Drosophila melanogaster: one gene and its partners. The protein of the gene in region 1 interacts with the protein of each later gene in a pairwise test. Each region holds a gene or a part of one and is shown on either strand. Other genes may lie near its edges.

Region 1 (4,676 bases):
TTTCGTTTTTTTTTTAAGAACTTGTATGTTTTATTATATATTAAGGTAGCAATTTAGCCTTGTACATCCTTCTCTATTTTATTACAACATTTTGTAACAGCAATCACATGCAATTAACTTTACTATTTAACAGATTATTGGAGCACATATAGCAAATTCATATTTTAAAAACATTTTGATGCATTAAAAAGCTTTCATGTACTTTTTATGATGCTTATATAACTTATAAGCTCTACCAAATGAGTCAGATCCATTATAAAAAGGGGTAAAAAGGCGAAGAAAAAAATCAATTAAGCCCTGATATTTGATATTATTTTTCCTCTGCGCTCTGTGGGACTATCTTATAAATCGCCGTTGCCATTCTGATGCGTTCGGCTTTGTATTTTATGCTGCTCCTCGAGTTCAGAATTTTCTATTTGGCGATTTGGATGGATGGTTGAGGTGGGGGAGGGGGGGGGCGCGTTCGGGGGGAAGGCAAACAGCTTTAGACACTTTAACACATTCCTCTGGGAATGAATACTCCGTGGAAGGAGCCACTACACACTCGCACACTCACACAGCCAGACATTTTAGTGGGCCTTCAGCATCGACATCGAAAAGTCTCGGACTTCGACTTGGACGGGGATAAAAAGGTGCACTGATAAAAAAGCATGGGAACTTCATGCCGAGTCTGGTTTTCGAGAAGCACATCCTCATTTTCATTAATTCATTTATCATGACTTTAATAGTTAGGTAATACTGATTAGGAAATCTTTTAGGCTTGCAGTCCACGTTGTGACGAAGCGCACCAAGATAGTTAAATCTACCGTGATGGTCTGATCACATTAAACCAAATGTTTTATATATCTCTTATTTCGTAATTAGTTTTTTCTTGCAGTGCCCGAAGGTAAGAGAAACATTTAGACGACTTTCCAAGACCGGTTCTTTTGGCTCTATGAACTCGCCTTCGTCCGCCTCGTACTAACTAGAACTTGTGGCCAAAATAAAAGGCAAACATAAAGCAGCAGCAGCTAGGCTAACAAAAAAAAAAAAACACAAAAAAAAGGCAAAACAGGGAAATGGTCAGCTAGTTGGCCAGTAGCACTTGGCCAACGGCCCTGTCCTTCTGCACCTTTCCGTTTGGACGGATTTATTTTAGTTAATAAGCGAAATCAGCGGAGGGCTGCTCAAATTGTTTGCATTTTTCGGTTGCTTAAAAGGTCCTTACATTCGTCAAGTAATGTACAAAAAATGTAATGAACTGGTATTCAAAGAACTTTGTTTTTTTTTTTGTAATACTTTTTCCCCTAATTCAATTTAACATTCTTTACTGCGTGTCACACACACATTTTTGACATTTATCGGTTAATATATCTAAGATTATAATATACAACTTTCCTTTCTATTCGTTTATGTTTCTTTGTGAAATGTAACAGGAAGAGTCAACCAAAGGGGCACTTTTTTCTTCATTCAGTTTGATGATTGGCCACACTTCTGAAATTCCTGAATTCATTTTTTAACAGCACCCTGCTGAAACTGCCAAAACATTTCGACAGTCCAGAATTCGTACATTTTTTGTTTCGGTAGCTTGATTTTTAGTTTGTTTACTTTTTGCTACCTTTTTGCGTGGCGGTTGTGTCTTTTGATGATCGATCAGCTTTTGGAAGCAATCAGGGAGCCAGGAAATCAGAGGACTCGTCACTTTCCACCACCATGTTGGCCAACTAATTAGATTCGCTCTGAATTCCCGGCTAATTGAAAGGTGAGCAGCGCGCTTGAACTTTTGGCACTTGCCAACTTTTAAGCTGTGCCAAAATGCTAGAAAAACTTAACGCTTTGAGATGGAAACTTCTAGCAAAGTACAACAAAAAGTAAAAAAAAAAATGGACAAAGTAATAAATTGTACAAACAAATAAACAAACAGTAAATCTTATCTGAAGGTTTATTAACGTATTTCGACAAAAACTAAATTATTTCCATGCTTTAAAAGTTTGGTTTTAAAGCTCTTTATAAAGCAACAACCAAATGCCGGCGATGAAATTTCGATTTCTGTGGCGTATAAAAACTGCAAGTTATTCATCTTAATTAAAAGGGATCCTAATGGCCAAGGACCAAACAAAGGATACAGCTAAGGGCGACGCGACAACATTTCGAGCCAATTGCTTGTGAGACAAAAGAGCCAAGTTATTGTTGTTAATATAAATGTATGTAGTGAGTCTGCTAAAAAGGGGAAACCTGCTCTCACCCAAAAATTGACAACTCTGAAATTTATTTGTATTTTAAGAAAGTGTCTAAAAAGAGATGTTCAGAAAATATAATATGTGAAAACTTTATATCGCGATTTAAGCCCTAAAGTTACAACTTAATATACATAAAATAAATTCACGTAATATTTTTCTTTTTTTTTCGGTCAAGTATATGATTTTCGATTTTTTGAAATTTCATGCCAATTATTGTTTAAAAAACACAGACAACGCTTCCAGTTCTAAGGAAAAAAATATTCAATTTTGGTGCACTACAAATACTTTTTCTGCCACTTTTATAACCCTTATTTAACTAATTTGCGAAATACTTTTCCATTCAAGTGCTAATGTTTTGGCGGCTTTTTCGTTTTGCGGTTTTCGCAGGTGGCGGCAGCTGCCACGTGACCGCAAATGTCCTGCGGCAAACGCATCCTTAGCTACTTAAAAAGCTGCACTTACGTTTTCAGCAACGATCGGTTGACAACGGCGCCGCAAATTCAATGAACTCGAAACTAGTTTGGCACATAAACAAAAATCGCAAAAAAAAAGAAGTGTAACGAAATTAAAGGAAAACCGCACACACACGCACACACAAAATGAAAATATAATATTTCACACTACTTCATTTTTTTCGTGGCTCTTTCTAAAAACTGGTAAGAATTGCTGGCCACCAGGTTGTGGTTACTGTTGTTTCTGATCGCGACTTAAAAACGACGCTCTTCGCAGGATTAGCGCTCTCTTCGAAGAGAGCCCCAGCAGAAGTTTAAGGAGAGGAGACGTCCTCGCGCGAGCAGCACCAAAATCCAACTGCGGCCGAATCCCACGGACGCAGCGACGTCCCCACGTCGACGACGCCGGCAGTGCCGCAAATGCAGTTTGCTCGCCACAGGCACGGAAAAAGAATTAATGCCCAAATGGCTTAGAGCTTGTTTTAAGTTAATGATTGAATGGAAGCGACGTTTATTGTGAACTTAGTATTGCTAAAAAGTAAGTGTAAGTAAGTAAGTAATTTAATTTAACAATGCACATCACAAACCATAAAATTGGTTTCAATCTTTGAAATAGCTTAAACATTATTTTATCAAAAAAACATAATTAGTATACATATTTTTTTAAGAACTTTGGTATTTTGAAAACATTTAATAGCTGCGCAGTTGTAGCTGCTATTGCTTTGACTGCTGCTGTGGACCTGAGCTAGTGTGCGAATGGAGTGCAGAAGGAAAGGAACAAGAACTGCCAGATGAAACAAAAACAAAAAACAGCTAAAGCAGCAACAACAACATGCTGATGCAGTGGAGCTGTAGTTGTATTTGTAGTAGGAGTTGGAGCTGGAATTGGAGTTTGGAGTTCCAATCAGACGAAAAGCAACTAGCGACGCGCGCGCTCTTTTCCGCTCTCTCACACACTCTCTCGTTTTCGGCACACTACTCTCGCTCTCCTTTTGCATTACGTATACGCCAAACAACGCAAAACTTAAACCGGCATTTTGTTAGGCGCACGTTTTGAGCCTCTACGAAGAGTGGGATCGAAGAAGGGAAGCGAGGGAGAGAGCAGAAAATGCTTCAGAACAGGTGCGGATCACTTTCAAAACGGTGCAGGGTATAGTTTATATTGTAGTTTACCTAATGCCCGAAAAAGTAGGCAATGTTTTATGGGAATACGGTTACCTGATTAATTTTGTTAGTTCATCAATCTAAGCCGATCTATTAGTTTTGTTACAAAAAAAATTAAGTCTGCTTGGTTCATAACTGCGATGATACGGAAAAAAAGTTTATACTTTTCTGTTTTCTCGAAATGATGGTCTAACTAATACTGAGTTAGAAAATCTTCGTTGGTTGTCATATATGCAGCCAACCAACTGAATCCGCTCCTGGCAACTTAGCATTTTCGCGCGTGCAGCAGGCAGTGCAACAACAGCAACCCCAGCGCCGGAGAAGAGTGCATCGGTTAGTGTGTGCGTGTAGGTGTGTGTGTGAGCTGCAGCTGGCAGCGAGCTTCCTACTTTATTACTGGTTTCCAACTTAATAAAATATGTGGAGCGCTTGATTTACTCTCAACAAGGATACGCAAGGGTTAAGAAAAGCAATGGCAGGCAGAAGAGGGTTAAAAAGAGATAAGCCAAAGAGAGCGACTTTCTTCGCCAGCTGTTTCGCCGAGCTTCTCCCGTTGCCTTTTGTTTTTGCCGCGCATTCGCCGGCTGGGATCTCTCTTTCCCTTTCTCACACTCTCTTCTGTTTCGGTGCCCCTCTCCCACCGTCTGGCCTCTCACTCATACGCCAGCTGTTGCTCCTTTAAGCGCCAGCGTACCGGAATGCACTTAAAAAAAGTGTGGCCTTGAACGTCTAAAAGCATTACAAATTTACTCATATATAACTTAAATGAATAATTAATATATAAAAATAAAGAACGTATAAGAATAATTAAAAATGGTTCTGCGAAATGAAATGTATTAAT
Region 2 (4,798 bases), 1.2 Mb from region 1:
CTTCAAACTTCAGCCCACCAGATTTGGATTCGGATATAATTTTAGTGGCATTCGTATTGGAAGAGTTCTCATCTCACGTGTTTTATACGAAAATTGTACAGAAATGTGAAAGCTTTAAGAAACGCACACAGCTTAATGCTCGATCAAATATTATTAAAAAATGCATAAGCAACTTAAATTGGTTAATTGTTTTATGATTAATTCGGGGATATGGAACTGCAATGAGCTGAAATGAAAAGCTTTGAAGATTTAAAAAGTATTAAAACATATAAGCATAAAACCCTTTCAAATAAAAAAGGTTGTATCCAAATGTTCTAAACAAAGTTCTTTTGATCGTAATAATCATTCTAATAGCTTCGTTTTATCGCATTATTTTAGTAAATTTATTTGATCTAACTCGTATCTTATTTAACGGTATCATTCAACAGCTGTTTACCTATGCTACCACCAATCTGGCAACACTGCAAAACCGATCTGAAAACATATTTTTACGCAAGTCAAACTGGCACTTGAATCTATAAATAGCAATCAAAAAGAAAGCTAATAATTTAATATAGGTGAAAAACAGGCAATTTATTTTTATTTATTTTTATTTATTGTTATTTATTGTTACGCAAGTCTAACTGGCATTAAAATCTATAAATAGCAATCGAATAGAAAGCTAATAATTTAATATAGCTGAAAAACAGGAAATTTATTTTTATTTATTTTGGAAACATTCATTTTTTCTATTTCTTTTATGCCGAAACCCGCTCGATTTGATACGTTTTTTCGTATTTCCGGCAACATAAAATAAGTCAGCGATAAGCGAAATTGAAATAAATAATTTAATTTTTATATTACTTCCAAGGCCTTTTTTATTACAGTGCACTTCCAATTTGCGTCTGCTTAAGGTTTGTGTATTACTTCCCATTGGAAACAACCATAACCTGTCCTAACCGCTAATAATTGTTTAATGGTGAAGCAGATATTAAAAAGTAGCGCGTTGCCTTCGCATCTGTTTGTATTTGCGAGCGTGTTTGTGTAGCGATACCGGGGCTCAAGATGCATATGTATGTACATACATTTGGGATTTGCCAAAATCTTTGGCTTAAATACATACATACAAGCAACCAAACATTTATGGGGGATTTTGTGCGACTGGATTCATTTGTTTTTCGGGTCACAAAAAAGCGGAAAATGGAAACGCTAATCTCGGCTAACCAATAACAACGAAAACCTTGCGCTACCGCTAAATGTTATCTCTTGTTTGAATGTCAGCGCTTAGAGAGCGTCTTCGCACGTATGTATGTACGGTACAAACATACGTATGGATGGATGGATGGACAAGCTTCCAGCGGTTTGTGTGTATGTATGTACTTGGCTTGCACGAAAGTTTCAGTTTCCTATCGAAACACGTCTTAAATGTGTATTTATCATCGGCTGTGGTACGAAATGCACGTCGGTGTATGCGTGCGTACGTAATAGTTGATATTTCTCTTTTTTTTTATTGTTACAGCACGGTTGCGTGTTATGTTTTGCATTTTGTTTTGAAAGCTCCGAAAGCTGTGCTTTATGTAAAAACATACGTACACTTGCCAATGTACGAATGTTTGATTGCACGATTGTATGTACGTACGTTTGTATGTTCGTTTGTACGTTAATACTTGGCGTGTGTTTGTGTATGCGGTTAGCACAAATCCAGCGAGAAAGAAACAACCAACGTTGGCTATATGTATTAACTTCAAAATAAAGTTCAGTTTAAGCTGGAGCGCAGTCGAGGTTGCGTCGCTTGTTCGTTCGGTCGGCTTTTTGGTCTTTCGGCTTTCGGCTAGTTCCTATATTGTATGTACGCATGGTAAGCATGCGTTCTCTTTCGCTTTTCAAGTCTCAGTTTCAGTTTTCAGTCTGTTCGATTGCGTTTGCATAGCATTGCATTGATTTAACAATAGCTAAATAAAGCTTAAAGAGTGTATCTGTGATTTATTTCTAAATGTGACCGCTTTGAGCCAATTTGTGCATAAATATGTATGTACATATAATGCTTTGGATTACATGAATCGCTATTGCCATTTCTGATGCACAATGATGTATGTATGTACGCAAAGAGCATACGAATGCATGGCTTGCATTACGTGATTTCATACATCTGTGGGTGTATGTATGTATGCACCATCGAAATGGCAACTCTTACGCATAAAAATTGCAAATGTGTATAAAGCCCCACGGACCCACACAGCCACATAAACATTATCGGACGCAAATGTATACATACAAAAAAAAGTTGGCTTGGTGGCTTAATTGTTGTTGTTGTTTTTTTGTTGATAGTGTGCACACAGTGCGAAATTAGTGTGATTAAATGTGGAGATGTGTGATTTAATAAGCATGTGGGAAATACAGCGAGAGTGATTGAGATGGAAAATGGGAGATGTACAAGCTGAACTTGCCCAGAAACATGTATACACACGTACATATGCATACGTTTGTAGGATTATGCTCGGCAAAGTGAAGTATTTCCTTACAAGCAAACACAGCCATATATGTATGTTTCTTTTTTTAAACGAATGGCACAGTAAAACAGAGACCGGAATAGATGTTGTCTGTACATATGATACTGTTGATATGATACCATAGCCATAATTTAATAGCCTTTTCATGTAGCATATGCGTCTAGCTATGCAATATCGGGCATGCATAACTGCATATCCTATGTACATATGTATATCGAAATATGGGATAAACATATCACTTGACTAACACATATGCATACATGCATACATACATACACATGTACTCATTAAAATTTAAAGATGCGTGCACAAATTTAAACATTGATAATATAAATTTATATGCAGCGCCGTGTGCATACATACATACATATATTATTTTCTAATTGGAAACGCGTTGGCAATGCCTAATTGGTTTGATTATAAAATTAAATTTCTTCATTTGGTCGCAGGTTTACGGTAACTCTCTGATTTTTAATAGGGTTTTCATATAAACAAGCGGGGTTCGATGAAGTGATATCCCCGGTTTCCCGTTATTTGTTTATACCTTTTTTTTTTTGCTTTCAATTGCTACTGAGTTCAGTATAATGCTATTTCAATAAATAATAATGTTAATTCAATTTAAAAGCTCGGGTTCCGTAGTGGTGAATATGTTAATTAGAAACATGATTAGAATGGGCTAATGCATAATTCCCCTATTGCAGACCCACTGCATCTTACACTTCGGGGGACTTTCTGACCGAAAACAATAGAATCAAATGACATGTGGATACACATGTGCATAGATACGTACATATGTATGTACAGAGATATGTACATATATGGCTTACTCATTGTTAACACTTACCTGTAGTTCCCCCCAGGTGATTCTGTTGTGTCATCCGACGAACAATGGATCATCGCAAATAGGCACTTCATTAATAAGTAAGCACAAACCGTTTCGGCCATAAATATCTGTGATATATGAATCATTTTGGCATCTCTGGTTATAAAAAGCCCACGTTTAACCGGTCCAAGGTTTTTATTTGGGTCTCTCGCACAACACAAATTCAATCTACAATTGAAGTGCTTTTTCGTGTTCTCTTGCAGATACTAGATCGTGAGATACGAGATCAAAAAAATAGATTCATGAGTACGACAACAGGAAAGGGAAACGTCGCAAAAGGACTCTTCGGGAGAATCAAACTACCTTAATACCATTAGCTAAACTTAGTTAAATATGTCAAATACGACGAGGTCCAGCCGAGTTACCATCGGTAGAATTGGAACCACGCCACAGATCACAGATCCATGGTCGTCCGGCTTGGAGAAGCAGCGACCTTCCCGCTGTGGAGGCCCCAAATCTCTCGCAGAGCCAACGTACCGAAAGATCGGACGGCGAAAGATGATGCTCCATATGCGAGTCCATGACCCTGGAACGACTGTAACACAAAGAGCAAAAGAAACGGCAACGGCAAAACTCAATAGAATCTATTTATGTACATTTAACCGAATGGCACAGAGCTGTATATATTTTGTATTATTTTTAGTAATCCTAAGCCCAAATACTAGTTGTGCTCTACGGAGTAGTGCGGGTGAGACTCAGAATTATGTCGGAATACTCAGCAACGATAGTGCAACGACCACATATGATGTGTCGTCCCTGCACAGCAGTAGAAGAACAAATCCCCCATCATCATCATCATCATCATCATCGAATGTTGATGTTGATTATCGTAATGACAGAGAGCTCCACAAGGTCGACCTGGTTGGCCTGGGAGGTGAAAGAGCGGGTCAAGCTGAGACCATTAGCGGCGGCAAATACGATTATAACTATGAAAATACTCACACAAATGCCAGTGCGAAAGATGAAATTGTTGAACGGCAGTCAAATAGCCTCGACTTCGACGGGGTCGATATGTTTGGCGCCTTCAGCATTCCGGAAGAGGCGATATACACAAATGAGTTCGCCGTCAACATTCCAGCTGGCAAGCAAATGGCAGATGTTATAGCTACCAAACATGGATTTATCAATAGAGGACAGGTGAGAATGTTTGTCCAACGCTGCAATGGAATTGGTGCTCATACAATTTACTTAATTTTTCATAGATTGGATCGCTGGACAACTACTATCTGTTTCAGCATCACCATGTATCGAAGCGTTCGCTGCGCTCTAGTCGCAAACATCAGGGCGCCCTTAAATCAGAGAACGAGGTGTGTACTCTCTAAAAAAGTATCCAGTTGGAGCAGAGATTTCAATCATGATTGCCTTGCAGGTGAAATGGATGCAGCAACAGCACGAGAAGGTGCGCCGAAAGAGGGACGGCCCGTAC
Region 3 (4,658 bases), 620 kb from region 1:
TCTTGTGTCTTTGCCATTGAGCCTATCGTGATTTGGCTCTTTTGGGCTCTGGGCTGCTTTCAGCTCCTGATTCCTAATTCCTTCTGGCTTCTTGCCTTTGTGCCTTGTGCTCATCATCATTTGCCGGGGCAGAGAAATCGCAATGGAATCAGATTTTTGCCTCTTTTCTCGAAGGCTAATTGGTGCCCAAATGCCGCCTGCCGAATGATTCTGTTTTCCCCACGAAATGCGAATGGGAATGTAAATGGGGACCAGGATGACGGGGTGACCAGGGGGCGACGTCGTCCATGGGGGCAACTAGCTAAACAACAATTTTAATTGCGACCAGGCAGAGTCAACGTCTGGGACTCGGGCCAAAGGCAAATGAGCGAGCGCTCCAAGAAATATGAACGAGGTCAATGATTGTTTACACTACCCTCGAATGCTGTTTACTTCGGCCCGACGACAGAGGGGGTGAGGGGGTAGAACGGGGGGCATTGGTTGTGTGTGTGGGTGTGTGTGGCAGGTGGCAGTTGGCAGTTGGGGTGGTGGCACGATGGGGTTAGTTCTAGTTGCCAGACACCTTGGAGGCAGCGCCTGCAGCGAATGTCAGTTTGTGGAAAAAAACAAGAAAATGCAGTAATTAGAAAAATACCTAGATATAATTATTTTTCTTATCTTCGTTTGAGTGCATGCAAAGAAATTTAATTCAATGGGGGGTCTTTAGTTCACCACTTGGCACTTCTAAGAAGATTAGCTATAAAAAACTGAGTAAGACTTAAAAAACTTCGTAAGGTGTCTAAAAGTATGCAGCACTAAATTTCTGCATAGAATAAAATAATCATATGTGTAAGCAAAGTTTCGTTAATATTTTTGAATGGGAAATTAAAGTATCCAGTCCACTGTGGCGACTATTAGGCCTCGGGCACATGTGTGTGTGTGTGTGTGTTAGAAAGTGTGTACAAGTATGGAATGCGAGCAAGGGAGAAGGAGATGAAAAACAAAAAGAGAGCGATGCATAAACACTTGCAGGTGCCACTACAGATGCTTCAGTTGTTGCCTCATTTACGTGAACTGTTTAAGGTGAGAACATAAGCTAATCAATAAACCTGCGCGATGAGGTGGTAGTTATGCTCATCCCCAACAAGTAAAGCTACCGGATGGCCAATCAAAGTAGTCGACACGTAGATATTCAGTATTTTCTACATTTTCCACCTTTACACAGTACATAGTATCCAAAATTATTCCCTTCCAGCCCAAGATGAATCGATATCATGAACTCAGCATGTCGTGGGAAATGCTGCGCGATCTCTACGAGACCTGGCTAATCCTGGCCATTGGCATGTTGGTGCGCTGGAATCGCTGGCGTCCGTTGATCCATGGCATGGTATCGCCACTGGATCCATCGCTTAAGCACATCGTGGGCGACAATGAACGCTGGGCGGGAGTCTACTTTGGATGCGGCACACTCATGACCATCATGCAGTATCGATCACTTTGGGTGCGCCGGTGTCGTCACCGCGTCCACATCCTGATGCTGCTGTCCGAAATAATGCTACTGCTCCAGCTGGTGCACTGGATCGACTGCCAGCTGTGGCAATCCTTTCTGAGCCTCTTCGAGGAGCTCTTCATCGCCCTGGGACGCGGTCAATGGGGCTCCTGGATCTTTTGCTGTCCGGCCGCAGTGCGCAATCTGTTCCTGCGTGGCGATGTCTTCGATGTGTTCCGCTTGCTCGCCTCGTTCGCCATCTTCGCCGTGGCCCTAAACTCGACAGCTGGTGAATGGCGGGTGTCCTTGGACTTCCTGCTAATCGGCTATTTCCCAAAAACTTCACTCTGGAGGCAGTCGCTCTATGTGGAATATAGGAGTAAGGGTTTCGAGCCCACGGGCTCGTACGTACTGCTACCACTTCCCCCACCCGAGCTCCTCATCTACAAGCGTATGTGTCGCCTGTGTCTGCAGCAACTTGAAACGAATCCCACTCACCAAAAGATTCAGATGCCTTGTTAAACGAAGGAGCAGTGCAGTTCATTCCTGGCTTCTTTATTTACTGTAGCTGATACGTTTAAATTGAATTAGTTTTCGCATCTTTGGCAAATTCCAATTATACATATATTTTATATCTCTGAATATTCATACAATAAAATCTAGCGTGTGATAAGCTCTTAGAAAGTTTTGATGGCCATCAGTTCTTACTTAGTTCTTTTTCGAGTACATGCATCACTTGGTGTCCTAATGTGATCTTCATGTGATTGATAGCCACAAGCTGCTATAGCGGCGCATCGCAGAACCCAGAAACTATGATTAAAATCGCATTTTCCATGATAAACCGAGGAATGCCAAAGTCATCGACCTAAAACTGTCGTAATAACCGCAGGGTATGTGCCCAAAGATAAATGCAACCGCACGTGGACCGCAAATCGAATGCAACTGCAAGCCAATTGTCAATCGCAAACTGCCACCCAAAATACCACCCATCCATCCTGACCATCAAAACCACCGCGGGAAATCTGCCTAATTATCTGGTTAGCTGGATTCGGATTGGGATTGGGATTGGGAGGTTAGGGGTGATATTGTTTATCCGGGGCTAAGTAACGACATACCTGGCACTCATTTGTGTGGTCATCAAACGCGGCGGTGGGTCTGCGGATTGGTTCGTGTTTGCGATGACAGTAATCGACTGATTAAGCGTAATTATGGATGTAATTTCCACTCAAATATTGAAGGCGAAACAGCAACAAACAGCAGCCAACAATGGACTATAAAGGCCTTTTCACTTTGGCTTTAAAACAAATTGGCTAGCAGTTTAACGCATTAGCGCGCACACTTAATTAGAATTCCCTGGCTGTTTTTTTTTTTTTTAAATTTTTTTTTTTTTTATTTGTTATTTGGCGTTGCTTTTGCTGGCCAAAGTGGGTGGCAAATGGGCGGGTGGTGATTTCCAATATGCACAGCGCACGCGAGCAACCCAAAAAAACAAACAAAAATTCGGAAAAAAATTAAAATAAATAGAGGAAGCCGAAAAAAAACAATGAGGAAACCGAACCGAAACAGAAAATCGAGTCGCGAACATGCAACTTGTGCGAATGGCAATCGAATGCCAGCAGTCGCACAAATGGCCTGGGCCTCAGTCGCAGTCGCCGTCGGCGTTGGCGTCGACGTCAGCAGCGCAGTCGGCGTAGGGATGGGCTGAGGAATTGAGCAATTGAAGAATTTACTTTGCATTTCTTGCAGGTGCCGCCTGTCGTGGTTGGGCTGTGACTAATTATTCAGCAGGTTGCTCTTCCTCTTGGCCTCTGCCTAAATATAGTAAATAATAAAAATTCTGGCGAATAACAAAAGGCAAAGCGGCGGGCAAATAAACAATAAAACGCCTGCCCCTGCTACAGATACAGATACTATATCTAAAGATACAGATAAAGATACGGAGGCGGGCCGGCAGTCAAATCAAACGAACCGTTTATTGGGCTGCTGCTGTTCGTATTTGTATATATATATATATACATGTGTTTAGATCGGTTGAATATAACAACACCTAGGCGAACTCTGCAGACACTATCGCCAAATAGAACCTCTTTAATCCATTCATTTCGATTTTTAGAACTTAAAACACTCAAGTCAGCAAGGAAAAGGCCAAAAGGTCAAATTACTAATTGAATTTAACTATTTAAATATTTCTTAAATCTAATAAACTACTAGGTTTATAGAAATTGGCAATGCTCTTTATTACTTTACAGATGCTAAACCACTTTAAATATTCTCCTTATGTGTTTATCTGTATTGCATTATTTTTTTGTTTTAATTTTTCAAAAAATGTCAAATAAGCGAAAACATTGTCCCCCTTTCACAGAATCGGTATCAATTTGTTTGCCTTTTTATTGCCTTGGATCATCTCTATTCGCTTCGAATAGAGAACAAAACTAGAAGAATCTTTAAGATATTTTTGGCACAATCTTATCATCCAATCTTATTCTACACTCGAATTTAAATAGTTTGTTTTATATTACGCTGGCCAACGGATCAAAAAGCCGCCAAAAAGCAACACTTTCAATATTATAATTAAACATTTGATTTTCGTTTAAATGCCCATAAATCTTCTGTATATACTGTAGTTGTTAAGTTGCCAACAAAGTATTTAAGTTCAAATTCCTGCCAGCATCGAATGCTATTCGAAAAGTAATCTATAATTAAATGCATTGTTCTTCGAAATGAAGCACAAGTTTATAGCTGCTCATACAATACATACACATTGATTGGTTTCTCAATTGCTCTATGTATTCCATCAACTAAATGGTCTCTTAAGATCTCTTTGGAACCGATTAGATTGGTTGAAGTATCTGCCTGCCGATCATTGATTATGACGATCAACTGACGCAGAAGCAGCATTTCCATTTCCCGTTTCAATTTGCAGTTCGCCAGCGAACGCGCGAAGAATAAATTCGCAATTGTGCACGAAAGAGGGGGCCTTAATGGTCGCACCTAAGAGGGGCGCTTTTTTTTGGGGGGGCGGGAGGAGGGGGATAGGGCGATACCGCGTCATCGACGTCGATTGCGGCAGCAACGCCCGCAGCGACTTACTCACTCATGCTGCCTCGAATGCGATGCCGATGCCTAAAGAATCGAATTCGAGACCGAAACAGGCCAATTATAATTACTGTTTATTTATTCTGGTTGTGTA

Evidence for each region.
Region 2: the proteins of CG43658 (region 1) and Fur2 interact in a two-hybrid assay, tested with the Drosophila melanogaster proteins (one large-scale study listed by BioGRID).
Region 3: the proteins of CG43658 (region 1) and Frq2 interact in a two-hybrid assay, tested with the Drosophila melanogaster proteins (one large-scale study listed by BioGRID).

Annotation. Positions count from the first base shown.
Region 1 is NC_004354.4:17,558,148-17,562,823, forward strand, and holds the start of CG43658 (uncharacterized protein), read right to left. Parts: upstream 3,034-4,676; 5' UTR 2,682-3,033; intron 1-2,681.
Region 2 is NC_004354.4:16,371,351-16,376,148, forward strand, and holds the start of Fur2 (furin 2), read left to right. Parts: upstream 1-1,735; 5' UTR 1,736-1,837; intron 1,838-1,871; exon of another isoform or gene 1,872-2,073; intron 2,074-2,279; exon of another isoform or gene 2,280-2,484; intron 2,485-3,190; exon of another isoform or gene 3,191-3,410; intron 3,411-3,575; 5' UTR 3,576-3,705; coding exon 3,706-4,509; intron 4,510-4,574; coding exon 4,575-4,679; intron 4,680-4,741; coding exon 4,742-4,798. Other genes in the region: nonA (no on or off transient A), read left to right, coding at 1-197. UniProt on the Drosophila melanogaster protein: Furin is likely to represent the ubiquitous endoprotease activity within constitutive secretory pathways and capable of cleavage at the RX(K/R)R consensus motif.
Region 3 is NC_004354.4:18,176,017-18,180,674, reverse strand, and holds the start of Frq2 (frequenin 2), read right to left. Parts: upstream 3,064-4,658; 5' UTR 2,584-3,063; intron 2,150-2,583; exon of another isoform or gene 1,991-2,149; coding exon of another isoform or gene 1,241-1,990; exon of another isoform or gene 1,203-1,240; intron 1-1,202. Other genes in the region: andorra, read left to right, coding at 1,241-1,990.